4 linked regions of the Lonchura striata genome follow. The protein of the gene in region 1 purifies or fractionates together with the protein of each later gene. This does not show direct contact. Links are inferred from orthologs where the notes say so. Each region holds a gene or a part of one and is shown on either strand. Other genes may lie near its edges. The genes, in order: SLF2, RAD18, SLF1 and SMC5.

Region 1 (8,351 bases):
TGTACTTCTTTCTTCCCCATTAAAGCCCCATCTGTACATGAAGCACTGCTGGCAGGCCACATCTCATCTTCAGCCACCACCCAAATTCCTCTCTGCACCTACATCTCGAGGGACAGAAATGTTAAAGGTCATTGACTCAAACAAGCAATATTGCTGCGGCCCAGGTCTGCATCCCCCCTGGAAGGGGAGAAGGAGGGGGTTTCTGTGTGTGCTGTTGAAATCTCTGATCTGCCTAAGACCAGGAGAGGGTGCACACCCACCACAGGAGGATGACCACAACAAAACAAGCTGGGGCTTGAGCCAGATAAGCGACAAGGCTGGTAAGGCACAGCCACTGCAGAGGTGGGAAAATGCTTTTCATCATGCCAGTGTCCTCCCTTACACAACTGGCTCAGGTGTAAAACAACACCCCCCACCCAGGGGGAGGTACTGGGATATTCACACTTAGACTGAAGGTATTTATCCCTTCTGACAAGGCATAATGTGAGAAAACATGATGTGAGATACACCAAAACACCAGTCTAAGATGGGGTCATAAACCATCAAAGACCCCCCCGAAGTGCCACTAGACTAATTCCTGGGGCCTTTCAACAGACAGTGTTACATCCACCCTCTCCAAGGGAGGTACCTGGGCATTCCCACCAGAACATCCATTAACCCACTGAACTCTGTATTTTGGGGGCTTCCTACATCCCTGACTGCAAGCATCACTTTGACCAGCAGACATCAGAATCGCTACAATCAAGTCTCATCACTGGATCCATGCTGGTCATATCTCTGTAATCTGCTCCTATCCTTGCTTTTTCTTTCTTTTCCTTATATATTTCCTTAAGTGGTATTTTTATACTTTTATATTGTCAAATTACTAGAGATAATAACCAAAATGGCTACATACCTCATTTCCATTGCAACCAAATTATCCCAAAATAAACCCTATGTGTGCATATCAATGTTCTTTCTCTCTAATCTGCCCCAAGGGACCCATTAACAAGAACCTCAGTTACTCTGACCTTCATGGACAGCTCGTAACAAAACCAAAACCAAGGCCTTCTGTCATCTCTGTCCTTGTTTCCACAGCCACTGCTTCCAAATGACTGCTTATGTCCTTGCCATAATGTTCTTTTTGCTGTCTTTTATTAAAAATCCAGCTTTGTAACAAAATTTCTGTTTATTCCATAATTATACAAAGCCTTCTACAAAACAACAGGGAATGAAGGCACTTCTCTTCTTCCTCAAGTTTAATTTTAATGAAGAGCTGGGCTTCTTTGGAAAGGCTTATCCACCAATATTTTCTCCTTTGCATTTGTAACTCTGCTTTTTGGAGTGCAAGGGCTAGGAACTGTCCAGCCAAGGTTCTGTATTGTGTCTCAGACAAGGAAGTGTACCAGAAACTTCAGACAAAAGCAAAGGGTGAGGAAAAGAAAAAAATAAAGAATTCAATACAGTACAAGGAAGATCATGGAAAAGAACTGGCCCATCCAACTTGCTTTTCACATACATGTGAAAGTAGGAGAAATGTGATTTTCTATGTGAATGGGGCCATAACTGTTCACAAACCATTCCCAGGAGAATCTCCACACTTTAGTAGGTTACTGTGCTTCAATCTTTTGCTAACACAAAAATCACAGTTGTTTAATGTATCTTTCTGAACCACTATACAGCTCTGGTTAACACTTTTCAGCAATATATTTTACATTCAGCAAGACCTTTTATCTCAAATAAAAATTATCACACCATATTTTGTGAAATCTCAGCTCGACTGAGACACCAAGGAGCCCACTAAAAATCCAAAAGAAAACATAATGCCCATAAATACATTATCTCACCCGACCAAAGAAAAAAGCTGCACAGCAAGGAGATGAACCTAACAGACCTTCCAGGCCTTCCAAAACTAAGAACACTAACTACGCCCCTAAACTAAGCCTGCATGGAAGGAAGGAAGGAGGAAATACTTTCACTTGTCTTAAAAAAACAACCCCCTGAGCATTTGGTAAAAGCAATTATTGTTTACAGCCACATTCGTGGTAATCCCTGGCTGGATAAAAACTATGCTTTTAAAAAGCTGTATTGGAAACACTAGGAATAGCTAAGAGATAGCAAATTCCCATAACATAGGAATAAGCTACTACATTTGATGACATAGAGCATCTTGAAAAGCTCTGTAAAAAGAAAAAAAAAATCATAATAAAACCAGCCAAAACAGAAACTCACATAGAAAACCTCAGCCTTTTAGACACCTGCAACAAAACCGAAACTGCCGGTTCGTTTGAGTTTCTTGGGCAAAAAGTAAGACTGAAAAAGTAAACTTTCACCCTGTCCCCTTCATTTAAATGACAGTGCCATCAAAACCAAGGATCTGAACAAAGTAAGGTGCAACTAATAGCCTAAGAAAATTATGACTTGTCTCATTGGGCAAAAAACAGCAGCCTCTGAGAAGCCTCAAATCGTTGTCAAAATCTGAATTTCTAGTTGGCAGGCAAGTTTGTCAGGTCTAAAGGCAGCGTCGCTGACAGCAGTGTTTTCCCTGGGCAGTGCCAGCACCGTTAGGCGCAGTCCCGCCGGAGCGGGTTCGGGGGCTGAACCGACACCCGCAGCTCCCGGTTAGAGCCGAACCGCCGACGCCGCCCGGCTCTACGGGCGGGCTGGGAAACGCCGGGGCAGGGGCGGCACACGCGGGACGACCCCGGGATTCTGAAGGGCGCGCTGGAAATGCCGGCCAAACTTAGCCGGACGCTCCTTCAGACTCGGGACGCTGCCAGACCCGCCGGCCAACGCCCAGCGGCACCAGGCGCCGGTTCCGTGAGGAGCATGGAACCTCCCGGCGATGCTCCCGGTAACGCCCGCCGAGCCGAGCCCTGCCGCCCGCCCTGGGCAGCGCGGCGCCCGCCGGCAGCGGAGCCGTCCCGCTCGGCGGGCTCGGGGCCCGGCGACGGCCGCGACCGCCGCTCTCCCGCGCCCCGCCCGTACCTGCAGTCCTGGGCCGCCTCGCCGCCCGCGGCCGCCGGCGTAACATGGCGGCGGGACATGGCGAAGGGAGGGCCCGGAGACGGCAGCCCCTCGCCGAGCGGTCGGGTCATGGCACGGGCGGCACAGCGGGGCCCGAGCGGCGGAGGGGAGCGGCCGCCCCTGGCAGCATCGCCCGGAGCGCGGCTCGAACGCCCAGCGCGGCCGGAACGCCCAGCGCGGCCTCGGGGCACGGGCGGGAGCTAACGGGCTCCGCTCTTCCTTTTTTCCAATGCCTCCAGGCGCTGATTGGCTGAGAGGCTAAAGCAGCTGCGTCTCCCATTGGTTCCTTCCCGCCGGGGGCGGAGCGGGCAGCGTGATCGTGTCTGTGATTGGCTGCTGGGGAGCGCAGGGCGGGAGCGGCGTTCCGCGTCCGAGGGAGGAAGGGTTGTTTGGCGCCTCGCTCGCGCGCCGCTCCCCGGCCCGCGCTGCCGCTCTCTGATTGGTGCGCTCGGACGGGCCCCGCCCCCGGCGCTCCCGGTGTCGCGGGCGGGGACAGCGACAGCGACAGCCCGCGGGGCCCGTCCACGGGCGGGGACAGCGACAGCCCGCGGGGCCCGTCCACGGGCGGGGACAGCCACAGCCCGTGGGGCCCGTCCACGGGTGGGAACAGCCACAGCCACAGCCCGCGGGGCCCGTCCATGGGCGGGGACAGCGACAGCGACAGCCCGCGGGGCCCGTCCACGGGTGGGGACAGCGACAGCCCGCGGGGCCCGTCCCGACAGCCACGCCCGCGGGTCCCGTCCACGGGCAGAAGCGTCCCGCGAGCAAAGCGCCACGGGCCGCCACCTAGCTCCGGGCTGTGCGGCTTGCATCGCCTCTGGAAGAAGATCCAGGCTGCGCATCCATCTCCAGAGCCACAAGACAATGTGGGGAGGCTGAAAAAAGTTACTGGGGAGTAACTTTTTCCAAATCGCCACTAAACCCTGTGCCTGCCCATCCTCAGCCTGCTATGCAAGATTCTCTCTGTGCCTGGACTTCCCCCAGAAAAGGCATCTCGAGTGGAATCCCGTGTCCTGCACCACCACCTGACAAACATTTTGGACAAAATCTTGGACTAAGCAACCTGAAGAACCAGACCTGCCTGCTTAGAGAATGCCAGTACTCCTATCTGTAATATTCTGTGTAAATTCACATATTTAGTCTGTAAAAACTAGCAATATCAAAAAGTTGCTTTAGCAGTTCAAAGTAGGTATTGCACAGATAGAAGATATCCCTTATAGTTATGTATTGGGGTTTTTGTTTAGCACTTTGCCTAAGAGTGGAGATGACCAAAGCCACTGTTCTCCTGATGTTTTTCACCAGGAGACAGCCGACTCAAATGAAAAGGAGTGACCCACCCCACGTCTCTTCTCACCCACTACGTTAGGCTGGCCTGGGAAAGGCTCAAAGCAGAAGTAGCAGGACACTCGCTGGCACTGCAGACAGCAGGGGCCACCTTCCTGTGCCCCAGCGGGGTGAGGAGGGCAGCTTTGGGTTCAGCCCTAGAGCACCAGAGAACCTTGGCCATGAAGACAGAACGAAGGACCTGACTCTCGCTGGGGTTCACAGTCCAGGTTTACTGAAAAGCTCAAACAATCCAGCAGAGAAGAGCCAACTAGAGCCCCGAACAGAGCTGTGCAGCAACGTTTAAACGGGAGGAACAGGGGCATGGTGTTCCCACAGACTAATGGAGAGGTAGATGGGAGTGGGGCAGGAAAAATGGGCAGGAGTGGGCACCAATGGGGGGACTGCAGGGGAGGGGGCCCAGTGCCCAGCCCATCACTCGAGGGGCTCGTGGAACTTTCCGGATGGAGGGGAAGGACTGTGGAGTGACAAGCAGGCCCCAGGATGAGGGCTGGGGGTGGAAGAGGAACAAGACTGACATTTGAATGGGAGGAGGTAAGGGAGGACAGAATCATTTGTTTGGGGGTACAGGATCAAACCATCTAAAGAAACTGAATAACTTGAACAACACAATACAACACAGGACAAAATAAGAAAATGTTTCTTGAGCACCTGAATATCTGAGTCTGCCCTGTGCTATGCACCCTACCCCCCACCCCTTTCATCATGCCCATCCCTCAGTCTGTTTTTCAAAGGCTTTGAGCCATGCAATTCCTGATCTCTTAAACTCAGCCTCAAAAGCTTAAAACACTGGCTGATATCACAACACACACCTTCTTCCTTGCTTGAGCCCCTCCGACACAAATCCTGCCCTCAGCTGCACGCTCTCTGCCCCAGGGACCACCTATGACTATCATGTTTTCTGGAGTGAATCCTACTGTTTGACAACACACTTCTAGACCCACTATGCACAACACTACAATAAATCCATCTTTTTGCTGGGTGTAAATTCTTGAGTAACAAATGAAGAACAGTTTGACTTGTTGTCATATAGATTTGTTTGAAAAAACAGTAGTGTATATATGAAGTACCATTAATAAAGTGTTAAAGTTTCATGCCCAATGTTATCCAGGAATTCCAGAAATATTTTTATAACACATTGAAAGAGCAGATGAAATTGAAGTCCTATAAACATTTGCTTTGTCTTTCAAGTTTAATACTTTAACTGTGGAAAATGGCAATAGACATGGGGGCATTTCTACAGTTAAGTCACCTGGAGTCATAAAGAGTTTCTAAAAGACAACCAGGGAGTTGGATACAGAGCAGCTTTGGCAGAACATCCAATTCCAGCACTGGTGATGGTAGGGTGAAGCTGTTTATCATGGGAAGTAAGGATGGAGTTCCGAAGTGGCAGAAGACTGTGAAACTCTCCTGTAACTCTAAGTACAAGAATAAAAGCAAACACAAGCAGTGAGGCTGAAAAAAGAAGATTTTGCTAATGAACCACAGGGAGTGACAATTAAGAGCAAAGACTGGTAATTGTCATAAGCTCCCCCCTTGAGATTAAGTGATGTAAATTGGTTTTTCCCCAGTACAGGACCTAGTCCGTATGGAAACAGATCAACCAATATTTATTAGCATACCTTTTTTTAAGTTGTTATAGTCAATTTAATAATAGCAGATCATTATCCAGACAGTAAATTCAGTTATTCTATCAATAGTCACACACATGCCATCACTCATTGTTGCCCAGGAGGGAAGGAAAAACCTATCACAGTGGTTTTCTCAGATACACACTGATGTGCCACTGGCTTCAGGGTCAATGCTCAGAAAGGAAATGTTTAAAGATTTTCATTGTTTTTCCTGGGAGAACACAGATACTAAAAATGCTGTGGAACTGCTGGAAGGGATAAAGCCCATTCTCATGTGGAAGTGCTCTGATATAGGCAGCCATTATTCTTTGTGCTGCACATGTAAAGGAGACTGCTGACCACTATGCAGGTTGGGGGGTTTTAAGTAGAAAAACACTTATTTTGGAACCAGACTAATGTTTTCTTTCGATTTAGGCTGGTTTCCTCTGACTGAATCATACACCTGAGCACACAGCCAGAAGCATGGCAGCACCTTACATGAACATGTCTGAGCCAGGCCTGTGTAAACTCATCAGGGTGATGTACTCTTCCAGGCACTTCCACACTCAGCTTCCTGGCTGGGGTTGCCTCAGCTGCTTTGTTCCCTTCATCACCAATTTGCTGTGTGGTTTAGGCACAGCACAAATTACAGCATACTTGAGATACAGACACTTCTTTCCTGGCATTCCTGGTTTCCTTTCCTTCCATCTTTCTGGAGAGTCTCTCCCTTTTTCACTAATTCCCAGATGTTATCAGATCAGATACTCCCTGCTGTGCCTTGCAAGAACCAATTTACACCTCCTTTACCAAGCAGACACTGATACCTTGACATGCAGCACATGCAGCAAGACTTCTTAGGCAAACATCTGGAGAGAATATTTATGGTACTACTTTCAACTGCAATAACAGTTTAATCAGTGGAGAGGGTTTGTATCTCAAGGTTGTGAAGTATTTGTGGTTTTCAGAGCTTGCTTCACCCAGGGAATTGCAATGCGGAACTCAGCTAACACACCAGTTCCCTTTTTTGACTGGACAAAAAGCTGGCAGCACTGCACTGATATGTCAAGGGGACACAGTGTGTAGAAAATATCTGTCTGCACATAATAATTCTACTACATTAATAAACATTTACTAATCAGTACATAGTTTGCTCACTTTAACTAACACTAACTATTCTCCTGACACACATGCCCATTCCCACAACCATTTTCATGGAAAACTTCAAATCAGTCTTGGTCAGTTAAATTCCATCTATTCTGTTCCCTACCTTTTATTTATTTAAGTACTTTAAAGTTGTCAGTTCCGGGTCTCTCAATGCTTAAAGTTTCATTGGCAATTGCCATGTAACCACACACACAAAATTCCTTTGTCATGACTACGATAAAAAGTCTGGTTTATAGCTTAAGCAAATTAAAAATGGAAATGGCCTTCACCTGTGGCTTCTTCAGCAGACATCCATGATGTTAACATTCACTAAAGCTAATTCCTATCCTTGATGCTCCCTTTCCATGGAGGCTGTCTCTGGTTTAATTTCCTGTTAATTGCTGATTGTTTCTGTAAAGATTAATCATTCTTGACACAAAGGTCAAAAAACAGAAAGAAAATATGAGGGACAATCCACTGCTAGCAGGCAATGAAAAGGACTTTCCTGCAGCAGCTTATCACTGTTTCTCTGGCCTTTTCTCCACAACATGACCGTGTTGCTATCTGCTTAACAAGCAACAAAAATTTTAGTTGGTAGGTTCAGTTAGCTAACCAAGTTGCCAGACCTTTCTCATCTTCTTCTACTTACATGTTATGCTGTGACCAAGCTCTTTTAAAGATATTTCTTTTGCAAAGATTGAGGGGATTCCTGAATCAGCCTTAAATATTATCATTCTTTCACAGAGTTCTGATGAAGCTAGGAACTGCTCAGCTTTCAGAATAATTAACAGGGAAATGCCTGCTGGGACAGGGGAATAAGAGTCACAGCCTCCATCAGAGGTAAGCAGACAGGACGTGTGATGTCTGGCCAAAATGAGGAAACACTGTTATATTTCAAAAGCTAGACATGCAATCACTCAGTAAACCCCCTTACACTGACTTTTTACTACTTTTAATCTAAGTTCCATGTCTGTGAGTGAACAAATGGAAGGCTATATATCAAAAGTGGCACACACTAGCAAATCTTCTTTAAAGGGCTTTTTATTTAGTAACCAGATAGGTCTGCAGGCCCAGCCAATTCACCTAGAAGCCAGGGAGCCTCACAGCTGTTACTTCAGTGAGGAAAAAGCATCATCACAGCTTGGTGAGAGGGGAACAGGCTTTGTAAAAGCAGAAGAGAGCTGGATGTTTGGATGTTAATAGGAAAAGTTGTTGCCACCTTGTCTGAGACCTATGGAGGAAGAAGCA
Region 2 (8,068 bases), on another chromosome or scaffold:
CACCACAATTGTTCTGCTCAGTTCTCACACCCTCCTCTGCAGGGCTCTGAGCCTGGGGGCACACACAGCCACACCTTGCCAGCTGCCAAGCCAGAGAGAGCAGCCATAAAATTGCAGACAGACCTTGCAGAATTAAAGCTCTTCACTAGATCATCTAAAATCCGGTTGTTTTTCAGGTCAGATTCCGAGACTGCCTATAAAAGAAATAAAGAAAAAGAAAAAAAAAACCAAAACAAATCCAAACAAACAAACATTTAAATGCAGTGAAAACAGCAAGTGCCCAGAAAATGTTCAAGTGATCAATAACTTGCTTCTTGGCTTGGTGCCTCAACTACCCCCACTAAAGTGCTACAGGAATTAAGATGCTTAAAGTGTAAACACTTCTTCCCCAAAAATATCTCATATTAAAGTAACTGCCTGAGAACTTAAGTCTGGGATATTAAGGTAACAGGCGAAAACAAAGCATAAAGCTAAAGCAACAAAGCCCAGTGTGCCCAGGCTCCAGTAATGGTTTGTTGCAGCACAGGTCTAATAATTTTGGAAACCAAACCAAACCATCTTCTGAAGGTGGTAAGAACCTTAAGCAACAAAGCATGAAAACTGATGAAGGGAGATGTTAATCTTCTGATTATGGCATGAAAATATGAATTATGAGTTGCCTCTGTGCATTCAGTTCATTCTTTTTAAACAATTTCTGATTTTTACCACGCTGCAACTCTCTCTGCTCTTATTTTTAAAAAAGCTTTTATTACTTTTTTATTCTATTTTTACTTTGAGATTAAATGGGGCCACTCACACACAGAAAATGAAGCGCTTACGTTTCAGCACTGCTGGTTTAAATCATGGAGTATTTTAACAAATTAATGTTAAATGTTTTGTGACAGATTGTACACAGTCCTGACCAAACCTCAGGCCTGATTCTCCATCCCCTTCTGCCTGCACTGACAAAGGAGTACCTCTGGAACAGAACAATTCCAGATGCAAGAGCACCACACTTTGCCCATGCAATCAGAATTGATTACTTGGCACAGTCCAAAGGCAAAAGCTCCTAAGATTTGCCAAAAGATTAAAAATAAACTGAGGGGGAAAACCACACTTACCACACAGCACGTTGGACACTGCGTTTTGTAGGACAAAGACTTGCGGATACAAAGGGAACAATCTGGAAAAGGGAACACATCGTTGTGAGCATTATTCCAAGTGCACATCCACATCCTTGCTTGTGTATTTCCTTGTTGTACAACACACACAAGCTACTCCACAACACACAAATATTGAAAACACACCATTTTCACATGGAATTATCATTGTTGGAAAAGAACCTGCATTTTATTCAAGCACATTTCAAATATCAGCTCCTCCACCGAAAGCTGATGTTTGCTTCCTTTTGTTCCCCAGTGCAAGAAAGCCTTCCTCAGCCCCCACCACTACAGCAGTGGCTGCACTGCTCACTCCCCCACAAAAACTGGGTTTTTGACATGACTAATGCTGATCACTTTCATCTGCCTGCACAGCCCCAGACAAACTTACAATCTCCTTTCCCCCAGGCTCTTCTGCCCCTTTCCAAAACAATACCAACTTGCTGTCGAGAGAAGAGGCTGGAAAGGAGGGCAGACAGCACTGAAATGCTGAGAGACAGCTTAATGTCACCTCACCATCACAGGATGCCTCGACAGGCTGGGCGGTGAAACACACTGTCACAGTACATTTCTGTGTTTGTTACACTTTGTCAATTTATCCCATAGCTTTCACAGCCACTTAAGGATTTAAAAAAATCTCATCATTCTCCAGGACAAAATTCCCTCACTAGATCATCATAGGTCAGAGTTTCAGCACTAGTTCCTGAAAAAGATCTATATTTCATAGGCCCTCTGAGAATGCATCAGAAAAGCAGCAGAAGCATTAATTAATCCCAGAATGGTTTGGGTTGGGAGGGACCTTAAAGCTCATTTCATCCCACCCCCTGCCCCTGCCATGGGCAGGGCATCTTCCACTAGACCAGGCTGTCCAAGCCAAATCCAACCTGTTCTAAAGCACCAATTAACACTTAAAACCACATATCCATTTAAATGCTCAAAAATTACTAGACACGTAGCAAGAAGTGGTATAGGGTGAGAAAGCCATTAAGAAACAAACTTTAACTGTAGGAATAGGAATGAAGTGGCAGACCCAGGCTGCCAGCATCCAACACCCCAGCAGCCTCCCATGGCCCACGTGCAAAGATTGCTGCTCAGAGCCATGGCTGCACCAGCCGCCAGTGAAGAGAATTCCCAGTTCTGTGGCTCCCCACTCTGGCTTCAGTGGTGACAGCTCTGCCAAGCTAAACTAAACTTCACTGCCAAATGACAACGGCCCCCTTCAGGGAAGGAAGTGCTACAGTTTCTGAACCTAACAATCACAAGCATTTATTTTAACGTGGGAAAAGGCAAGGTACTTCCCTCCTAATCTGGCTTCAACAAAGCACTTGGGGTCAGGTTCCAGTCGGTATCTTGCAGGGCAGACAGAACAGCATGGAAAATTTGAGGTCTTAATGCTCAGCACATAGAGCTTTGCATTTGTACCACCCTCAAGATGTTAAGAAAGATATTTACAGTAAGAATGCCAGATGCCACATGCTTGTGTTACAGCAGGAACTACAGCAGGGAGGGCTCTGGCTGCTTCCATCTTGCCAAGCTCCTCCCAGCTTCCACGGCAAAGAGAATCGAGGCACCCTAGAACGGTTTGGGTGGGAAGGGACCCTGAAGCCCAGCCAGTTGCACCCCCTGCCATGGGCAAGACATTTTCCACTGTCCCAGGGTGCGGCAAACCCCACCCAATCTGGCCTCGGGCACTGCCAAGGATGGGGCGGCCCCAGCTGCTCTGGGCACCCTGCGCAGGGCACCACCGCCCTCCCGGGGAAGCTTCTTCTGCATCTCCCACCGAACCGTGGGAAGCCATGCCAGGCCCTGGTAAATCGTTCCTGGCCATCTCTCCTGCAGGCTCCGGAGCCTTCTGCGTGCCGGGCCGAACATCCCCGCCCGGGACCGGCCGGGCCGAACTTCCCCGCTGTCCTCCCGTCCGGCGGGACACGGCCCCGCCGCCCTCCCGCGGCACTCACAGCTGTGCGAGCACTGCGGGATGATCACGGCGATGCTGAAGTAGTCGAAGCAAATCCCGCAGCGCAGCAAGTCATCCACGGCCTGCAAGGAGAGCGGGTGAGCGGCGGGCAGGGCCGGGCCGGGGCACCGCCCGCCCCGGGACCCGGCCCGGGACAACCCCGGGACAACCCCGGGACCCGGCCCGCACGCACCTTCAGCGGGGCCAGGCCGGGCGGCCACGGCGGCTCCAGCAGCGGCATGGCCGGGCTCGGTCGCTCCCGCCGCGGCCGCGCTTCCGCCCGCGCTCCCCGCCGGCTTCCGCCCGCACTTCCGCCCGCGCTCCCCGCCGGCTTCCGGCCGCGCTTCCGCCCGCGCTTCCGCCCGCGCTCCCCGCCGGCTTCCGCCCGCGCTCCCCGCCGGCTTCCGCCCGCGCTTCCCGCCGGCTTCCGGCCGCGCTTCCGCCCGCGCTTCCCGCCGGCTTCCGCCCGCGCTTCCGCCCGCGCTTCCGCCCGCGCTTCCGCCCGCGCAGCTGCGGCGGCGGGGGATACGGAACGGGAACGGGGATGGGGATGGGGAACGGGAACTGCGGGAACTGCGGCAGCTGGAGATAGGGAACGGGAACGGGGATGGGGAACCGGAACGGGGAACGGGAACTGCGGCAGCGGGAGATACGGAACGGGGCGGGAACGGGGATGGGGAACGGGAATGGGGAACAGGGATGGGGAACGGGAACTGCGGGAACTGCGGGAACTGCGGCAGCGGGAGATACGGAACGGGGACGGGGATGGGGAACGGGAACCGCCGGGAGCGGGGATGGAACTGGTGAGAACGGGGAACGGGAGCGGGGACAGGAGCGGGAATGGAAAGGGTGAGAAACGGGGAACGGGATGGGAGCGTGGATGGGAGCAGGAATGGAGCCGCCGGGAACGGGGACGGGGATAGACGTGCCGGGAACGGCAATGGAAATGGAAGGGAGCAGAGCCCTGGGCAGCGGAGGCTGCAGGGGAACGGGCAGAGCCTGACCTGGGACACGGACACTGGCAGCCAGAGAAGGAGCCAGCGCTGAATTGGCCTTTGCTGCCTTCGGCCAACAGCAACGAGCGACACTGGGTGATGTTTCAGAGACATTGTTTTGCACGTGCAGGTATCTCCCATTTGGACACTGATGCTGGTCCAGTAAACGCTGGGAAAATCATGAGTAATCTCACTAGCGTTAAACTACTCCAGTATAAAAACTCCCACACGGACAATCCATGCACACCTAGACACGGTGATAGGTCTGTAATACCTTCCATTCTCTCTGGTTGTCTCCCAGCAGTGCATTGCATTGCCAGCTTTGTGCCCTAGAGTCACTCTTTGGCTGTTTGGTTCTTAGCCTGGGTGCAATTCCCTTCCCCACCATTCAAAATAAACCAAGGCAGAAAAAGTCCCCCAAAAAACCCTCAAACCAAACCAAAACAAACAACCTGAATTAAATTAACATGTGGTTCCTGAGCATTTTGAGAACGAGTACCAGCAAGAGCCCAGAAACAGCATGCCAGCCCCAGGAAAGGCTAAGAGCCTTCCTTCTCAGTGGGAGATGACTTTCCAGTGCCTAGTTTCCAGCAGTGATTCCCTGTGCAGATACTCTGTGTGTGTAACTGCAGTACCCCACCAGAGACCTGTGATGGACGTCACAGGCAGGGGCTGACAAATAGGAAACAACCATTTGCATTCCCATGCAGAAAAAAGGGTAAATTGGGTGAAATCCAAAGGCAAGAGAGTCAATGCATTAACAGAAGTGCTTCTTAGTTGACATTCCAGCTGTCCTGCACAGATTTTGCCTTTTTCAGCTAGGAAAGGGACGTGGGACTAGGAAAGGGATGTTGGGAGCAGAGTTTGGATACAAATTGTTGTCAGTCTGTTGTGCCATATGGCTGCTGATTTGCCACCAAAATGCCCATTGCTGGGGCTTCATTCCTTTGCTAAAAACTGTTTGGGTTGTTCTGCTGCTGTATTTGCCACTTCATTGCTGCCTTCCCCTGTTCCTGAACATGAAGCAGTTCTCAGCCCTTGCAATGCAAGGGTAGCAGACCTCCCTCCACTCCATCTCTCTGCAGGGTAAGACAAGACATGCCCTGCTCCTATGAAGGCTCATTTCTATTCCCTGTAAATTACTGGGAATTGCAGGAGAGGCCTGAGAGCTCCTCGTGGGGCTCTGGTCCCTCAGCACTTCCCAACCCTGATTTAATTAAGAGCACAGCTTTCACCAACAAGGCGTGCATGCTGTGCCATGGATTTTGCATTTGTGCCGCTGGAGCTTGTGCCCAGAGGTGCCCGAGGGCAGGGATCCCTCCCACCAGCCCCGTCCCTGTGCACAGAACGCCCCAGCACTGCCTTGCCACGAGGCTGATGAGTGCCAGGAGCCACTGGAGATGCATTTCCCTGGCCCGTGGGGCCTCAGCAGAGTCTGGCTGCTCCTTGTGCCACTGTCTGTCACCTCCAGCTCAGCCCGCTCTGCTTTCCATTGGTGAGCTGCTGCTCATCACATCACTGAGGTAAAACACTCGCAACAAGAGAATTTTGAAGAGGCAGTTTTGGCTTCTGCTCAGCTTAGCCTGCTTACGCCTGGATTTATGTGCCAGAATGAGACTAAACAGAGGGAGACGGAGCCATTTGTCACCAGAACACATGCAGAAAAGGCAGCTCCAGCTTGCTCCAGTAGTGCACAAACCACTGCTGATGAGTCTGGGTGAGATGTGTGTTGGGATTGATGCCAGTGGTGAAAAACAAAACCTCTCGGGTGCTGGCAGCTGAAACACCAGGTAATTACTTAATTGACTCCATGATCTCCACCTTGGAGGAGCAGCCTGCAGCACTCAGGCTAAAAGCTGAAGCTCATTAGTAATTCTGGCAGCAATTAATGTCCCAGACCATGGAAAGCAGAAGCCCAGAGCATGGCTGGTGCAGCGTTTGGAAGCTGAGAGACACCTGCACCCATCCATCTGGCAGGAGCACTCACCTGTGCTGGACCCAGCAGCTCCTCCTGCTCTGGCCAGGGACACTGACCCAGAGTGTCCAGAACTGAGCTCCAGGCAGGGAAACGACACCAAAATTCAAGCCATATCAATAGAAATTCAGCACAGACGTGAATTAGCCCCATTCCCTGGTGGGTGGCACTGGGCAGACTGGCAGCCACAGGAGTCCTGCTGGGACATGAGGAGGTGGGAGCCTTGGGACGGGCAGGATCAGCGGGGCCAGGAGCAGCAGGATCCAAAGCCACGAGCAAGCAGCAAAAGGGAAGGCGTGGCTGCACACAGGGCTTGTCCCCAAAAACCTGTGAACAGTGTATAACTTCTTACAGGAAACAATCGTTCACACAATTCCCATGGACTTCGGTTGCCACACCAGGGAGGAGGGAAGGCATTACTCATGCACTAGCAGATGTTTTGTCTTACATAAGACTAGATTTTTTCTTTCTTTTAAGAAAAAGGCTGCATCTCACCCTAGAGCCTTCTGAGAGCCTCCTCACCCTCGGACATTGCCACGGCCTCACAAGCTCAGCACTGCCCTGCTCTATGGTACAGCTCTGCCAGCTTCAGCACTCGCCAGTCATTGCTAAATATATTATTTTTATAAAGGCTGTCTTGAAAGGGGTAAAAAAAATGGATGCAGCAACAGTTTGGAGACAGAAATCCAAGAGAAGCTTCATCAGTGCTCAGCAGCAGCAGGCAGCGGTGGGTAACGCAGCCAAGGACAGGATTTCTTGTCGGCTGAGACTCCTCCAGGAGGGAAAGCAGCTCGCTGCCTTTGAGTGGGATGGAAGGTTTGGGCTGAGCGCTGCTGACAGCCCTTCCTGGCCCACAGGGAGCCCAGGCTCGGGCCGGGCTGCAGAGCCTGCCCAGCCCGTCCCTCGCTGCAGAGCTCCAGCCAGGCTCCCGTCACCAAACCTCCGGCTGCCCGGCAGCTGAGCCCCTTAATGAAGAGATTTGTCTTCGTTAGGCACAACCAGACACACGTGCATGAGTCTCGTGCTGACGGGGCTCGGGTGGGATTCGGAGCTGTCCGAGGGTGCCTGGCCTTCGGAGGCTGTCAGGAGGCTGTTATTAGATTTAAAGCCTGGGATGAGCTTTGCTCCTGAGCTGAAGCTTCATTTCCAGCACACAAACCTCCACGGATTTTGCACCATCAGAGACTCCAAGCCCAAGCTTCTGGAAGGCTCCTGGGGAGGGAAGAGGCTTCTCTGTGGAGCAGAGCAAGGCTGGTTTACCTGCAGTACTTATGCTGATCTGATGCATGAGATATTTAAAATCCAGCAAATTACACTTTTATCTCATGAAACACTTAAACCAAACTGTTTCAACAGCTGCTGCCTCCCACCCAACAAGAAGGGGAAATGATCCCAAAGGGCAGCAGGAATGTGGTGCTGTTTTCCAGCTGAGCTGGGATCATACAAAGGTTTCCAACTGCTCCACAGTATTTACAGAAGATGGGTAATGCTGCAGTCTCTCAGGCCTGCTAAAGCCCGGTTTCCAGTGTTTCTATAGTGAGGCTGTAGGTGGGTTTTAAGGGGAAATAATAAAGTTTTCAGAAGTTGGGTAAATATCCTCATTCTGTGCCTGCAGCCAGCTCAGGTGTGGGATGCAGCACAGCCTCCCCAGGGAGTGGGATCGCTCAGCCCTGGCTGCTGAGTGCTGCTGCAGGGCTGCTGCAGGGCTGCTGCAGCCAGAGGCAGCAGGGTGGGGACAGCTGGGGGCACCAGGAGCACTCAGACACCACCACACCAGCACTGGCCAGCCAAGGAAGGGCTCCACTCCAGGGACACGGGGACACTGTGCTGGAGCAGGGGGCAAAAACATTCCAAGAAAAATACTAAAATTGAAATCAAGCTCAGAATGCACCAAACCCTCAGCAGCACTGGCTGGTGCCAGCACTGTCCCTCCCAGGCTGATGAGCTATCCCTGGGCAGGGCCAGGGGAGCTGACATCTGACAAACACTTCTCCAGCTTCAA
Region 3 (7,630 bases), on another chromosome or scaffold:
AAATAATTGTTTGAATAGCTGGAGGTTGTTATGGACCAAATTAACTGTGATGGAACTCCTACCTTCTAATACATGCCATTCGTTTATCACATCTCTTAACAAGGAGGACAACTTTCCATCTGTGGAAGGCCCCTGGAGCACTAGAGTTTGTCAGTTCTTCACGCCATCTTTTAGGTGCAGATTGCATTTGAGGTGAATAATGGGTGTCTCTTTCAATTTCATATCCCCATTCGTACGTTGTTTCATCAAGCCATCTGCCACTTTCAGCACTATTAATTATGTACTCCTTAGTTAGTACCCACTTCCCTAAAAAGAAAATGAACTGTCAACCACAAAAGATTTTTTGTGGAGACAAATGGCAATCAACTGAAGAACTAATATAAAATTAACTTAAACCTTTCTTGTGCAAATAAAAGATGAAATTATAAGTACCATTTAAAAAACTTCTTCCTATTACAAGAGTCTTCCACTTCACAATCAAAAATTTCACAATGCCACTGAAAATGATCGCTTTGTTTTCTTTTAATGATTAAGTACCTTTTTACCCTTCCTAGATAAAATACTTGTCTATGTCCTCAAAAATATCAAATACATGTTTTCAACCTCCCAGATTTTGTTCTTAGGAGTTCCACAGAACATTGGTAAGTCCTTTATTTTTAATACCATTTGACACTTCTGCAAATGTACTAAAATGAAGAAATATTTTCCCACCTATGGTTTTAAAGAAGAACTAGACATTTAACATGTAAGCTCTTTCTCTTATATATTCTTAGTATTACTTGCACTGCTAATGTAGTGAATATCAATATTTGGGGGGCACAGTTTTAGACTTTTTTCTTTCCCCTTTCTTCTTTTCACATCCTTTTCTCTCATCCTTTGGCTCCACCTCCTCCACCTCTCCTCTTTCATCTTCCACATCTATGCTTTTGATATAGTATGTAATGATCTTCCCTGTCTCTCTCTCTTCTTACAGGTTCAGGTCAAGAGCAGTGGTTAGTACCCTGCTCCTGTATTGAAATACTTCCTACAGAAGACACTGTAAGAGAAATTGACTTGAATTGTGTGAACCTAATTGGTTTCACAGAACAGCAGGGTTGACTGACAAAATGTCTCAGTGCAGGAGCACAGATGGCACTTCTACAATACCTAGCACAGGTACCAGTCGATTTATGACTGGAAAAGATATGCTGTGCATGACCTGGATGTTAACCCACTTTCACATGAAGTTTCCATCCCAAAACTTGTCAGCTAGGAAGTACATGACAAGTGGAATCCTTGATAGTATTTCTGATGAACTCTGTGGAGTTCTAAATGTGTTTAAACATGCTCTTTCTTAACTACCTGGAAAACAACAAAGTAGGAATGAATACACTGTCTCTGCCATGATGAGTAAGAGCAATGACTATGCAAAATCAGCACCTCGGGATTAAGAAGAGGTTAGATGGTATTGCGGAAGATTTGCATGTATCGAAGCATGACAGAGTTTTGTATCACCATGAGGACACTACATGCACCATTTCCACTCTGTTAAAAGAACATCTTCAAATTTTAGACTCCAAATAGTCAGAAAACATTAACTCAAGGGTTTAAAATTGCTAAAATGAAGTGCTGTGCCAGAAACCTAGATGCATTTTAATATTTTTTCCCCTCTTGGAAACTTTTGGTCTATTTCATTTTTGGTAAGATTGTAATTATAATTTTATTTTTAGTACAAAGAAAAATACATAGGTACATACATACATATATTATATATATATGGAAATCAAGGAATTTACATATAGATTTAAACCCAAATGTATGTTTAGTAATTTGTCTATCATCTCTAAGATTATCCATCCTAACAACTGCTTTAACACTTTAGAGTAATATGATATAGGGAAAATAAGTATCATGCTTAAAAATGGTATTGTGGTGTCTTATAACTACAAGATACTCAAACTGCATCAGAGAATTCTGACATATCATCAGTCTATAAACAAGTCTTAAAATACAGGATTTTAATTCTGAAAGCATTTTAGTTGCTAATGTATGGGATTTCACCATCAGACCCTAGTTAAAGAGGAAAGACCAGAAGCTTGTGTCAGAATGGCAACAGCCTGGAATTTTCTCTTGCTGCATAAACAGAAACTTACAGTGACCTTTACCAGCGAATGTTTAATGTGAATTTGTCATCAAAAATCCATGCTGACTACAGGTGTTCATACTCCCTCTGCCCTTTCTTAAGCATCCAAATAATTTGAACATGACTTCATTATCTAATGTATAACAAAGTGTTCAGTTTGGGAACAGATGCAGATCCAACAAAGGGAAATAGCAGGAATATCACTTAGTGGAAAAAAATCAAAACAAAAAAGAGGACTTCATCATAACTTCAACATAATACTGTGTTAAAAATCAAGGTTAATGGAACAAGAAGAATGAAGCTTTGTAACACAGTTCAATCACAAAATGAAAACAGATAACTAAAACCCTTTTAAGGAGCCTTTCCAGGCTTATGCTGTGATGCTATGAAATTAAACAGCAAATCTTTTACTCACCAGCAGCGCAGGCAGCTAAGACTTTTTCACTCTTGCACAGCTTTTTTGCTACAAGATGTGTACAATTTCTGTATTTCTAACAAAACAAAACAACACACTTGTATCACTGGAAACATTTAAATTCTTTGTCTATTTATACATAACTAACCTATTGCACAGTCCTTCCTTCTAAGACTTGCATTTTACTTCCAGCTCTAATTCTCTTTGCTGTACTGTAATGAACAATACCTTACTCTCTACAAAAACACAGTTCAGCTTGAACAGGCATTTGAGTAGTGCCTTCTTCTCTTGATTTTTAAATCCAGTGATTTGTATTATCCTCTTCTGGCTGCAACTTGCCATCTGCTGAAAGAATGAAAAGGAAACATTAACACACAAAGTACACACCATGGGAAGTTGCTTGCAAGGCCCGACTAGTATTTGCTACTTCTTTTCCAACAGGAAAACACACCAAAAGGAATGAATACTCGTACACCACATTTTAAGCTCTCACAACAAAGACACCTAAAAGGCGATAACGGAGTAGCCCGAGACTCCCAAAGTGCAACGCGTAGCGGGCCGAGCCCCCCCGGCCTGGCATCGGGGCTCTCTCTGCACGCAAATGCGCGGTGGTTCAGTCCCTCGAAGCCCTGCTCCGCTGCCGGCAGCGCGGGCAGGCTCCCCTCGCCCCGCGGGGGAAGGGTCCCCGCCGGCCCCGTCGCAGGGACACGCCACCGAGAGCGGCGGGCTGCCGGCGCCCCCGGACAGGGGGTGCCGAGCGAGGGCCCCTGGCTGCGGCGGGAGCCCCCAGCGCTCACGTTCGGAGACCGCGGGAGCGGGGCTGCGCTATCGCCGGCTCGGCCCGGCTCGGCTCGGCTCGGCTCGCTCCGGCCCGCCGTCCGCCAGGCGCCGCGGCACGGCGAGTTCCCGCCTCGCCCCGCCCCGCCCCCGGATGTGGCGGAGCGGCCGTTCCGGGACGTTGTCACTGACGCTCCACGGTCGCCGGGGCCGCCGGCGCGGAGCCGCGGGGGGATCCCGGCCGGGTAAGTGGCCCCGCTGGGGCTGCCCCTCCGCTCAGCTCACCGTTCGGCCGGGCTCTGGCGCCGAGCGGGGCCGGGCTGGAATCCGCTGCGGCGGCCCGCGGAGCAGCGGCGATCCCCCCGGCCGCCTTCTCTGCCGTGCGAAGCGCTGCGCAGTGCCCGAGCTCCCGGGGGTCCGAGGCGCTGGCGGGCGCTGCCAGCTGCAGCGGGAAGGCGGCGCCGAGTCCGTGTGCGGCGGTCCGGGCCCGTGTGCTGCTGGAGCGCGAAGGGGCGGTGCTGCGTCGGACGGGGCGGAGGGAGCCCGGCGGGGCCGGGGGCGGGGGCAGGCTGGAGGCGGGCGGCGAAACGCGCTGGCGCCCTCCGGAACCTGGAAATCGCCGCGTCTGCCGCTCGGCGGAACTAAAACTGTGGAAGGCGGTCTAGCAGGGGTTGCGTCGGTCTATATGCGAGCCCAAGTGGAACAGGAATCTCTGGAACAGGCTGGCTGTAAGAATCGGGAAAAGGGACCAGGGATTTCGGACCCTCAGAACCATTTTCTCAGCATCTCGGAAAAACTTTTCAAAGTTTCAAAGCCATATAATGCATGGCCCTCGTAGGGCAAGTGACAAGGTAGTGCTACAGCCAGATAATCAAGCCGCATATTTTTGGGAAGGGCTTTCTGCCCTGTTGATGAAGGGAAGGCATTCCTGCCACTCTGATCAAGTTGGTACAACGTTTTTGTTACGATAGTCAAGGCTTGATTTTTTTTTCGGTTACAAAGCAATATGAAGAGATCAAAATAATATTCATCTTGTACCTCAGTTGCTGTTCATGAAACTTTTTCTGGCGTCCCACTCTTTATTTTGGTCCCTTCTGTGCTTGAGAGATGACTTTTGGCTATTTCTCTGTCATGTAATGCACTGAACAGATACTGCACAAGAAATCGGTTGATGCTTCCTGGAAAAAAGAAGTAGCTCTGTAGAACACTTTTGCGTTTTTCTATAGTTTCAGAGTAGAATGCATGCATACAAAAAAAATATTTAAAAAAGATGGTTGAAATACCTCTTTAGAGAACTGAATTGTGGTCAAGTCACCCTGTACTCATTGAGGTATTTCAGACACTCTTTCATATTTAAGACCTGTAAATTGAGATATGCACAACAAAATTCACAAGTGCTGAGTTTTTGTCACTGCAGCTTAGATCAATAGAAGCAATGCTTTGAGCTCACCACTGCTGTAAAACAGGTATCCCTCAAAAAACAAAACCACATAGGTGCAGACATATAAAGTTTGACAGCAGGTTGGACACATGGTTTGAATCTGAGTTTCTCAGAATATCAAAACAGAAGAAGTGTTCTGCCGGGCCACAGATTACTCTTGTCTTGCTGTTTAAGAAGTATTCTGGTACCCTTAATGCTTACTGAGGCTTTTCCTTTTTTCTCTTGTTTCCTTAACATTGCTGTTATTTTTTTGTATATAAATATGTAACCATCAACAATCATTGTCACTACTCTTTTTGCAAAAATGACAATGAAAAAAAATCTTAAATATTTATAGTTAATATTCAGACTTCAGTTATTGGTTGCATGCATTTTCTATTTTGTACCTGTTGCATCTTTATACTTTTACTATTGATTTCTCAGGACTGTAAAGGTCTTGATTTTAATTCTTGTAAATTTTTACTCATTTTATTCAATTTTTATTCATTACATAACTGATAACTAACAGCAGTTTTACCTCACAGGACTCTTAACAGGCTGGAGAAGTCTTCAGCATATGATACTGTAAACTAACTCCTAGTGAACAAAGCTGTGAAGCTCTGTCAGGGGAGATTTAGGTTAGATTCAGGTTCTTCAACCAGAGAATGCTTGTGCACTGGAACAGGCTTCCGAGGGAAGTGGTCACAGCCCCAGGTCTGCCAGAATTCAACAAGTGTTTGGATAACGCTCTCGGGCACATGGTGTGACTCTTGGGGTGTCATGTGCAGGCCCAGGAGTTTTACTTTGATGATGCTTGTGGTCCTTTCTAACTCAGGATATTCTTGATTCAATCATTCATACTTATTTGATGACCATTTCTTACCTTTAAGAGTTAATTTTATTTTCCTGTGTCTCTGGCACATAAAATAGTGTAGAATCAAAGTAAATGATCTCAAACATTTCACATGTAGTTTTTCTTTGAAATACATTGTTGCCAAAATGTAGCTTTAAGAAATTACGTTTTTTAACCATTATTTCAGTGACGACTACTAAGTTCAGAATTCACCAACCCCTGATTCTATTATTTGTTCATTAAAAGTCTGAAATATTTTCTTCCTTTCCATCCTTGTTGTGATCTCATTATGGTAGCTAAGTGTCTCTTATGTCTCATAGGCCTCATAGTGAGCAGGCTTTTTAACTGATGTATTTTTAAGTCCCTCTGGTTTCCTTTAAATGTATTTGTCAAATATACAATTCAGTTTCTCAGTATTATAAATTGTGTTTTAACAGTTTGGCTCTGAGATATCTTTTTAGATAGTATCTACTTTTACATATTTTCTTCTACTGTACCTGTGACATGTTCAATAAAATTTAGGAAGTGATTTTCCATACTACACACATGGTATTTGACTTGTAAAACTTCTAATTACATTTTAAGGATGATCAAGAATGGCTGTACAGCTCTTATGTCCAGTTCATTAAGAAGCCAAGATAAGGAAAATAAATATTCCTTTTCTCCTATCACAGAAAGATTTTATTTACAGTGTATCAGGTGTCCATCTCTTTCATAACTCTTTTATTAAATTTGTTACCTAGAGAGAAGAAAAAAGAGTTTTCATTTCATACATTGTTCTGGCCTTCTACCTTATACTTTTTATTTCCTTTATCTTCTATGCATATTTCTATTACAACCACGTCTTCTGCCTTGAAATGTCACTTCTTACGTTTCCCAGTAATAGCTATTTTACTTCACACAGTTATCTTTCTTCAGGCCTTATTGGTACTGCTGCTTTCTGTGTTATCACTGTTCATCCTTGTCTGTAAATCTCAGTCTGTTTCTCAAAGCCTCTGCCACTTTGTCCTTAACTCTGCAAGTTAGGGTTTCTTTTTTGTTGTTTGATCATTTGTACTATTTGTCCCTCATAAGGCTTTTGACTTCCTATGTGTGAATTCCTTATGTAATTACTTGCACATTTTGAGAGTGAAAAAGTCCATGCAAATGCATCTTTCCATTGTGAAGTATAATCTGACAGATTTTTTTATTACTGGAATCTATTTTGTAGTATGTGCTTAAAATACTTGCCATCATGCAATCAAGATTATCAGTTGACTGATTAAGGAAAACTATTCATTGGAGTTTTTTCCTTCTGTCTAAACATAATATTTATACTTTTTAAATGAAACTCGCAGTGCAATAGGCAAGCATTTCATAATCACAGCTTTACAAAAAAAAAAAAAAATCATGAAACTACACTGAAAAACCAGTCATAAAATCTAAAGCAGTATGAAGTGTCTCCATACTGCCTTCGTGTGGATAAAAATCTAACTTTCTGCCTCTTAAAGTCCATTTTTTCTTCAGTATGAAACACTGTCTCTGGCTTCTTGAAATCAAAGGAATTTAAATATTCTTCTGTAGTAATAAGGGATTACCAGGATTAGAAATAATAAATATAAATCCACAGAAGGTACAGGAGCTTCTTAATAGTAATCATCTTTCTATAAACATACCTGTAGTTTCTCTCATGAGCTAATGAATACAGAAAAGGCAGAACAAGCATTGTGAAAGTTCCTGCTTTTCTTCAAGCTATACTGATTATATAAACTCCCTGTTATCATAACTAAATGCTTACTTTTAAAAACATTTTCATGTTCTTCTCAGGACGTATCTTTTGTGTTTCTTTCATGTAACCATTTTTATTCCAAAGAACATTTATTTTTATAGCTATTATAAGCTCACCCTATTTTCTCATCTCCTTTCATTCATCTGCCTTTCTTCTGCCAGCTCACTTTCTGAATGTATGTCAGTGAAACAATGTTGATGGACAAACACAGAGCACAGAATAGTGTTTGACAGCTTGTTCTGTAACTCTTCTGTATGTGAGTTTATGTGTATTCG
Region 4 (7,448 bases), on another chromosome or scaffold:
GTCTTACTTGATCAATCCTACAATAACGAAGACTGACAAAAATTTTTCCAAGGCCTTGCTGCAATATTTTTTTTCCCTCAATAAAATTTTCTTTTCAGAGAATCTGATCAGGGTGGCCAATTGCTATACAAATTAACACAGGCTAAGAATCACCTGACTAGCTCTATTTTCTCTTTCATTAAGGCCAACAGACCAGGCTAAGGCCATAGCATCCACAAAAGGATGCATGTAGTATTGCCCTATGCAAAAGCTACTAATGGAATTTTAAGTCCAAAAGATTTCCAGGTGCTCTGCTTTACAACAGCTTATCTACAAGACCGCATTACGTCAAATTAGTCAGATCTTTTATTTTACTTCTTTTCTATCCGTATGTGATGTTTTGAGAATGTAGGCAAGCTCCTCCTTCCAACAGTATCAGTATAAGTAAGTGAAGGCAGATTGATCCATTTTAAAACTTAAAAGACTTCTGTAATTTTTACTTCAATGAAAAGAATTCCCGCCACCACGTAGTGACGGCAGTAGTGACTAAATCATCAGAACCTTAAATGTAATCAAAAGCTAAACACACCATATAGAATTATCTTTTTCTATGCATTTTTTTGTACATCAAGACAAGGTGAAACTTTATTTTCACTTTTCTTCAGAAAGCAAGATCAACAGTAGCCATCACTGCTTATTTCTTGTGTGATAATTATATAACTTTACATTCTGAAGACTGCAGGAATTAAAAAAGGACAAACTAAGCTTAAAGACCGACCTCTGCACAACAAATTTTTTTCTCACAAGTTTGTGAATGGCTGTGGGGGGAAATGATCCAATTAAAAGCGCATGAGGAAACAGTTTTACTACTTACAGTTCAATTTCCACTATGCCTTTCAGGCACCCCTGCTTCACAAACAGACTGACCTACAAAATTAATTTACAAGTTGTTATTGCAAAATAAAATTTACTGTCTTACAAGAATACACATTTGTATAATGGAGCTACTTAACAAGGTATTTTATTGAAAACTTACAATTAAAAGCAAAATAAAGCACTAACTAAAAATAAAGGAAGACACTATCCTCCACAAGTTAACAATTTCTGATTAACTTCAGCCTCCAAAACTGAATAAATTATAATCAGCAGATCCACAGATAGGAAGAAGCTCTTGTGAATTCGGGGAACAAGGACAAGACTCTGCCAAGTACCTATACTAGAACTGCCGTTCTTATAGTATGAAAATACATCATGAGAAGCAAAGAGAAATGCCAAAACACAATACTGCCATGCAATCAATTCCCATATTCACATTTGCTTATGACTGAGCAGCTACAAGAGAGTATGTGTAACCATTTAGGCACCCAGATTCATTGCTCCAAATCTACTCAGAGAAATTGCATCCAACAAGACTACCCAAGAAAGCAAGTGCAAAAGTTTGAAAATTTCAAGATATAAAACTTCCTTCTACAGTGTCAATGCATATCTTGGCAGTAAAAAGTGAAAATCCAAATTCTATTTCCAAGATCAGTGCCACTATGCCTTTTTTTTATGGCATTTTTCTACTCCACTGTGGATGCTTAGCCATCTTCAAATAAAACCTCTAGTCGACTCAGACTGCACTACAATTTAGGTAGCATTTCAAAATTTAGACAAGACAGCAAGTAGTTAATTAAAATAACCCTCCTTTGTCTCTGGACCAGGTTACTCTTCAAGTCAGATGCCTTACTTTTTATAAAAGTAAAGCAAATCAAGGAAGAGAGCCCTTCCCCCTATCCTCTGCTTGACAGCACTCTGAATGAAATTCAGATTAACTATGAAAATCAGAAAAGCTCATAATTACCTTATCAGCTCGCCCTAGGAAAGAAGGTTTTCCAGCCAGTCCCAGGCAGATAGCACAAACAATGCTTGACTTGCCTGTGCCATTACCACCTACAATCAGGTTCAGGTTGGGCCCTGGATGTACTTCACAGAGATTGTATGTTCTGAAAAGCACAGCAAGTTTTTGAATTTTAAAACATTACATTACCTTGAAAAAGAAAAATGAACTAGCTTAGAAACATTTCATTATTTTATTAAGGAGATACAATTCCTCATTTAGACTCAATTGCGAAATACCCTTTTGTAAGAAAGTCTCAAGAGTGAAAACTAACATTTCAGTGAAACACCATGAAATACATTCCCATCAGCCAGAGTACTCACTTTCTTTAAAATCAGTGACTATGAAGAATAAAATCCAGCAATATGATGATAACTTTATAAATGAACTTACTATGGTATGATACTAGGGTATCATTTTATTTCATGCATCAAAAAAAGAAAGCTGATCATGCAGTAGCTTTCTAGAGTTACCGCATCAGCTCATCCCTAGTGCTCGTTTTTTTCTAACTGCATTAGACATCTTTCATCATGTGCATCCAGAATGCCTACGGCAACAGTAACTATGGGAAGAGACCAAACCTACCCATGCAAATTCGTATAAAATTAACACCCTAAATTTATAAAGAATAATTTGATGTTCTTATTCCTGCACTGTGCCAAACACAGAGAGCTGAAACGTTCCCACCAAAGGAGGAGTACAAAGCAGTTAATGGGAACACAATATTATAAACCATGTACTTGTGGAAGAGAAGGTATATGAACCCTTAATGAGGATTTAACTCTCTCTGAGGATTCAATTAACATCTAACACGTGACTCATTCACTACAATACTGTAGATTTTCAAGGCTCGAATGGAGCCGTAAGAAAATGGTCCGGTAACTTCTACTGGTCCAAATACGTCCAAAAATAATGGTATTCGCAGTATAGAGCAGCTAAAAAAAACATGTGCCAGGACCACAAACACTTCATCCTAACGGGTCTCAAGGCCTATCCCCACTGTTCCACGAGCACCTTCTGAAGTCTGCCTTTCTCCGCTGCCTGGCAGCCACGCACCCCAGAGACAAAGAGCACGCGGAGGCTGCACGGCCGACAGCCGCCACCACCTCTGGGGAAGGCCGGCCGGCACCAGGTAAACGACACTGCGCTGACAGCCCCTGGGGCTCGTAACCCAGACTGCAGGCCTTCCAGCAAGACCCCATCTCCCAAGGAACGCCGCTTCCTGCGCTCCCTCCTCCAGCCCTCGGTACCCGCCATCCCGCTCCGCTGCTTCCGCCCCTCTACGGCGGAGCGGAAGGAGCAGGCCGCGGCCGCTGAAAGCGGGAGAAATGCCTCCCGCTCACTCACAGAAAGTTCTTCATGAAGATCCTGACGATGGAACCCAGTACGAAGGTGGGCTTGGACCCGCCACGCTTCACAACCTTGCCCTTTTCCCGCGCAGTCGCCATGCTCCCCCCCGGCCACCCTCGCTCCCCGCGGGGCCGAGCCCGCGCCGAGCGCTCGGCCGGCTGCCCGAAGGCGGAACTGAGCCGTCCTAAAGCCGCTCCTCATTGGCCGGGGCGCGCCGCGCCGGCGCCCATTGGCTGCGGGGCGGGCGGGCCGGGCGCTGTTGCCGGGCCGCGGCGGGTGCCGAGCGCCGCGTGCCGCTGCTCGGGCGCTCCGCTCACCGCCACGCTCCCTGCCTACGTTTGCGGCATCACCGGTGGCTGGGCGTGTTTAGTTCGGAGAAAACCGGGAGAGAGTCTCATTGATGCATACAACTGCCTCAAAGGCGGTTGCCAAGAGAGGGTTGCTAGACTCTTTTCAGTGGTGTCCTGAGACAGGATGAGGAGCAGTGGCCATAAAGTAAAGCTCAAGAGCTTTCCTCAACACGACAAGAACCTCTTTACACGGAGGGTGGCAGAGCACTGTGACAGCCTTACCCTGGAGGTTGTGGAGTCTCCCTCTCTGGAGGCATTCAAACCCCACCTAGACTCATTCCTGTGTCACTTGCTGTAGGCGACTCTGCCTTGGCAGTGTGGGTTGGAATTGATCACAATTCCAACCCTAACAATTCTGTGATTCCATGATGCAGGCTACAAGAGTGAGCCCAGGAGCCATGAATCCGGGCTGAGGCCTCAGGAGAATTCCCGGGTGGCCCAGACTGAGGACCACAGACAGCTTGCCTTTTCTTTGAGGTGGGATGAGAGGCAGGCTTTCTCTTTTTCAAAACATGAGAGGTAGAACAGCCCTCAGTGTGTCTGTCACACTGCAAGGAAAGCGTGCTCTCGCCAGGCTTTGCCCTTACACAGCTGTTGCTTTGGAGTGGTGGGTCTCCTGAGAGGGCAGGCACACTGGCAAGCTCTGCTCACATCCAGGTGGACAAAATGCCAGGTTTTTAGTACTTGGCTTCAGCTGTCTTATGAAACCTCATGATTGTGAAGTCAAGTTTATATTAGGTTTATTTTGGTGCGACACCATAGAATACCTCTTTATTTACTTTATAAAGGCAGCATAACAGTGACATTTTATAATAGCTGTTATTCTGGATTTCTGTTGGTGTAAATGAGATCTGAATTTGCCCCTCTTTTTGGAATTAGTAAGGATAATGATAAAATGAAAACTAATGGGACAATATTTAAAGAATAAAATCCAAGATTAAACGTAAGGACAGTATTGAACAGGAAGACAATAAAAGGGGTCTCCACTCATCTCAGGACAAGCTGAGTTCCACTCCAGCACAAAGCTACACTTACAGCAATTAAATATAAGCCCATTATCGCTTGGGACATTATAGCTGTTTTTCAAGGTTTTTTCATTTCCATTTTACAGATTTTGACACAACTGGGATCAAAACAATTACTTGTAAAGTCTTCACTAGCTTTTGAAGAAATTTTCAGACATTAAACAGGACTGCTATGGCGAGTCTCAGAAGAACTATTCTTTGCCCCAGTGTGGTCCTGGTACAGCTACTGCAGCATAGTAAATAAATATGGAACCAGGACAGAAATTAATTGCATGAGGAGTTTCCCATTTGGACAGAGCTGATAGAATATTTTTTTATACCATAAAACTGAAGTTTGCCAGTGGAGACATCTTAAATGTACCATACCCAGTTTTCAAATGTTTTGTAGCCATTCTTTCACTAATCTCTGAATTTTGTATTCTATAAATTGATGTTCATCAGACACTGAAGTAAATGAAAGCCATCTTTCAAATTTTCTCTCTGTACTTTAGTTCCTGCTGCAAAAATGATTGGAAAGGCAATGTTCCCTACTTAAGTAAGAATTTAGGTGATTTTTTGGTTTGGTGTTTTGGTAAGCTTTCCCCCCACCTTTTTTTTTGCCTCTCCCCCCCATCAGGGCAATGCCTCACACCTTGTGGATAAGTATTTCCTTCAGTGATACTGATAAAATCACTGTAGCAGTGAGGTCCCTAGAAATCACTCAGTGGACAGCAGGTTAGAATCCTTCATTTAGGTTTTTATTTTATCATCCTAAATCTGATTACTTTGATGGAGTGTGGCAGAGTTGCATAAATATCTAGAGATAGGAGCCTAACAGTTGTACTTCATGCTTCATTTCATTTACATACAGAGGACAACCAAGCCTGATTAAGTGCTTCATCTTCACTTGTTTTCTGCTTAGATAATTTGAGCTGAGTATTGATACCGAAACATGCACTTTTCAGAACAACTGTAAAATTGTGCTGACGTATAGGAAACAGTCCATTATTTCCGTTTGCTTTCATTTTTGAATAATAGTAAAGTAATGTGTTCATAAGCACCTGACTAGGTAGGTATCTAGAATATGCAGATAAGATATCAATTCCTTTTGGCTTTTCCTCAGTGTCCAGGAAACAGAAAATGGCTTCAATCTGTGTGGTTAAATAAATACATGAGTATTGAATGTACTGCATTGAACAATCTCTTAAATTGTTTCTGTCACAAAAATGAAAAGGTATGTAAGATGCAAGGACCTAGATCATCCTAGGTGCTGTTGATCCTTATATGCTGTTAGGAAAAACATATTCTTAGTTCTGAAAGGAGCAGGATATGGTTGCTGTAACAGTACATAAGCTTCCTGCAGCAGTTCAGATTACTTTTTGTTGGCCTTCTTAGGTGATGTGATCCACTCATTTAATTCTCTTCATGTTCAAAATTAATTCAGGCTACTTAATTTGGTTCTGTTCTTTCTCTTTACACTAATCAGTTTCAAATCTAGAGCAGAGGAATAAGATGATACTCAAACTTAAATTTTATTAGGAAGTTATAGTAAGTTAAAAAAAAAAATCAACCTTACACACAAATACATAAAACCTGAAAAAATACAAGATGTGAATATAAATGCAGGACATCTGTTGTTGGGCAAAGTGTAAGTGCATTCTCTGTGAGTGTACAAACTTATTTAATAAAAAAACAAACAACCAGACTCTCATGACAGAAAACATATGGCTTTAAAGTGTTTAATTTCCTATAATTCCACAGGCCAGCATCTTATGCTGAATTATACTGAACACTAGAAGTGAGTTTGTTATTGACAAATATATTTGTTATAGTAAAATACACTGTCACAAAAAATTGCCAGCAGAGTATTAAGTTTCCCAGAGAGATTTGTCATTGAGAATAATTGTACTTAACCTGTGGGATAATACTAGTAGCTAACACTATTTTCTTCGTTATTTCAAAACATTTATCATTTTCTTAACAAAAATCCATTCTATCCCCAACACAAAACATTCACTGAATGCAGATTTAAGATAACATATCACTGGACTTCAATTGTGCAACTTGAATTTCCTCTTTTTACTTACATACCAGAAATGTTAAAATGTTAAAATTAAAAATTAATGATCTGTGCAAAATGGGAAGCCTTTATGTAATAACTGATACCTCATGCAAAAGAGGAAATAATATCAAAAACTTATGGTCTAAGAAGCCCTGAGTCAATAATTTCATTGAAAAGGCAAGGAGCATTAGTGCTCCAAGTTCTTCCTATGTATCGGTGTGTATTCAAACCAGTCCAGTATTTACTTAAATCATATTTTAAGACAGGCAGTTCATGCAGTTTCTCACATACAATTCTTCAATGTGCTTCATTCCTTTCAGCAGAATGTATTTAATACTCAATTTCGTTTAAGATGTCAGGATAGCCTGATGAGAACTGAATTTCTTCCACTTCTGGAATACAAAGAATGAAGAAATTCTGTAATTATTTTTATTTTTGTCATACTTAATAATACTTACAGCAGAATTTAATTAGCACACTGGATTTAAATGGGACTATCTGTGGTTTTTAAAAAGTTTACAGCCACTTTACTAGTTGAGATTCTGAGGATGATCTCACACCCTATTAGATAGTAAAAGCACTAACCTCTGCTTGATATTAAATTTAAATGGAGACTCAAGGGAAATATCACCCACCCACAAACAAGCACTGAATTTCAGGTGTTTCTAACAAAGTATCTTGAAACTTACCCAAACAAGGTCCTGCCTGGAACAGAATATCATCAATAGCAGTGTCACTTCTTACTGACACACCACGGATTGCCTCAAAAATAATCTGTAAAGTAAGGCACAAATTTTCTGAATCCAAATGGTGGAAGGACTGAA

What was found.
Region 2: the proteins of SLF2 (region 1) and RAD18 purify together in Homo sapiens (affinity purification with mass spectrometry; 3 studies listed by BioGRID and IntAct, with this or other methods). This does not show direct contact. The link is inferred for Lonchura striata from reciprocal best matches to the Homo sapiens genes SLF2 and RAD18.
Region 3: the proteins of SLF2 (region 1) and SLF1 purify together in Homo sapiens (co-immunoprecipitation; 3 studies listed by BioGRID and IntAct, with this or other methods). This does not show direct contact. The link is inferred for Lonchura striata from reciprocal best matches to the Homo sapiens genes SLF2 and SLF1.
Region 4: the proteins of SLF2 (region 1) and SMC5 purify together in Homo sapiens (affinity purification with mass spectrometry; 3 studies listed by BioGRID and IntAct, with this or other methods). This does not show direct contact. The link is inferred for Lonchura striata from reciprocal best matches to the Homo sapiens genes SLF2 and SMC5.

The regions. Positions count from the first base shown.
Region 1 is NC_134609.1:19,949,976-19,958,326, forward strand, and holds the start of SLF2 (SMC5-SMC6 complex localization factor protein 2), read right to left. Parts: upstream 3,187-8,351; 5' UTR 3,078-3,186; coding exon 2,968-3,077; intron 1-2,967. UniProt on the Homo sapiens protein: Plays a role in the DNA damage response (DDR) pathway by regulating postreplication repair of UV-damaged DNA and genomic stability maintenance.
Region 2 is NC_134614.1:23,723,815-23,731,882, forward strand, and holds the start of RAD18 (E3 ubiquitin-protein ligase RAD18), read right to left. Parts: upstream 3,383-8,068; 5' UTR 3,338-3,382; coding exon 3,290-3,337; intron 3,180-3,289; coding exon 3,098-3,179; intron 1,163-3,097; coding exon 1,101-1,162; intron 195-1,100; coding exon 124-194; intron 1-123. UniProt on the Homo sapiens protein: E3 ubiquitin-protein ligase involved in postreplication repair of UV-damaged DNA. Postreplication repair functions in gap-filling of a daughter strand on replication of damaged DNA.
Region 3 is NC_134642.1:69,020,459-69,028,088, reverse strand, and holds the start of SLF1 (SMC5-SMC6 complex localization factor protein 1), read right to left. Parts: upstream 3,246-7,630; 5' UTR 2,928-3,245; coding exon 2,766-2,927; intron 2,614-2,765; coding exon 2,538-2,613; intron 307-2,537; coding exon 63-306; intron 1-62. UniProt on the Homo sapiens protein: Plays a role in the DNA damage response (DDR) pathway by regulating postreplication repair of UV-damaged DNA and genomic stability maintenance.
Region 4 is NC_134642.1:71,458,341-71,465,788, forward strand, and holds the start of SMC5 (structural maintenance of chromosomes protein 5), read right to left. Parts: upstream 3,393-7,448; 5' UTR 3,307-3,392; coding exon 3,206-3,306; intron 1,965-3,205; coding exon 1,823-1,964; intron 907-1,822; coding exon 854-906; intron 1-853. Other genes in the region: MAMDC2 (MAM domain-containing protein 2), read right to left, coding at 6,955-7,016, 7,314-7,398. UniProt on the Homo sapiens protein: Core component of the SMC5-SMC6 complex, a complex involved in repair of DNA double-strand breaks by homologous recombination.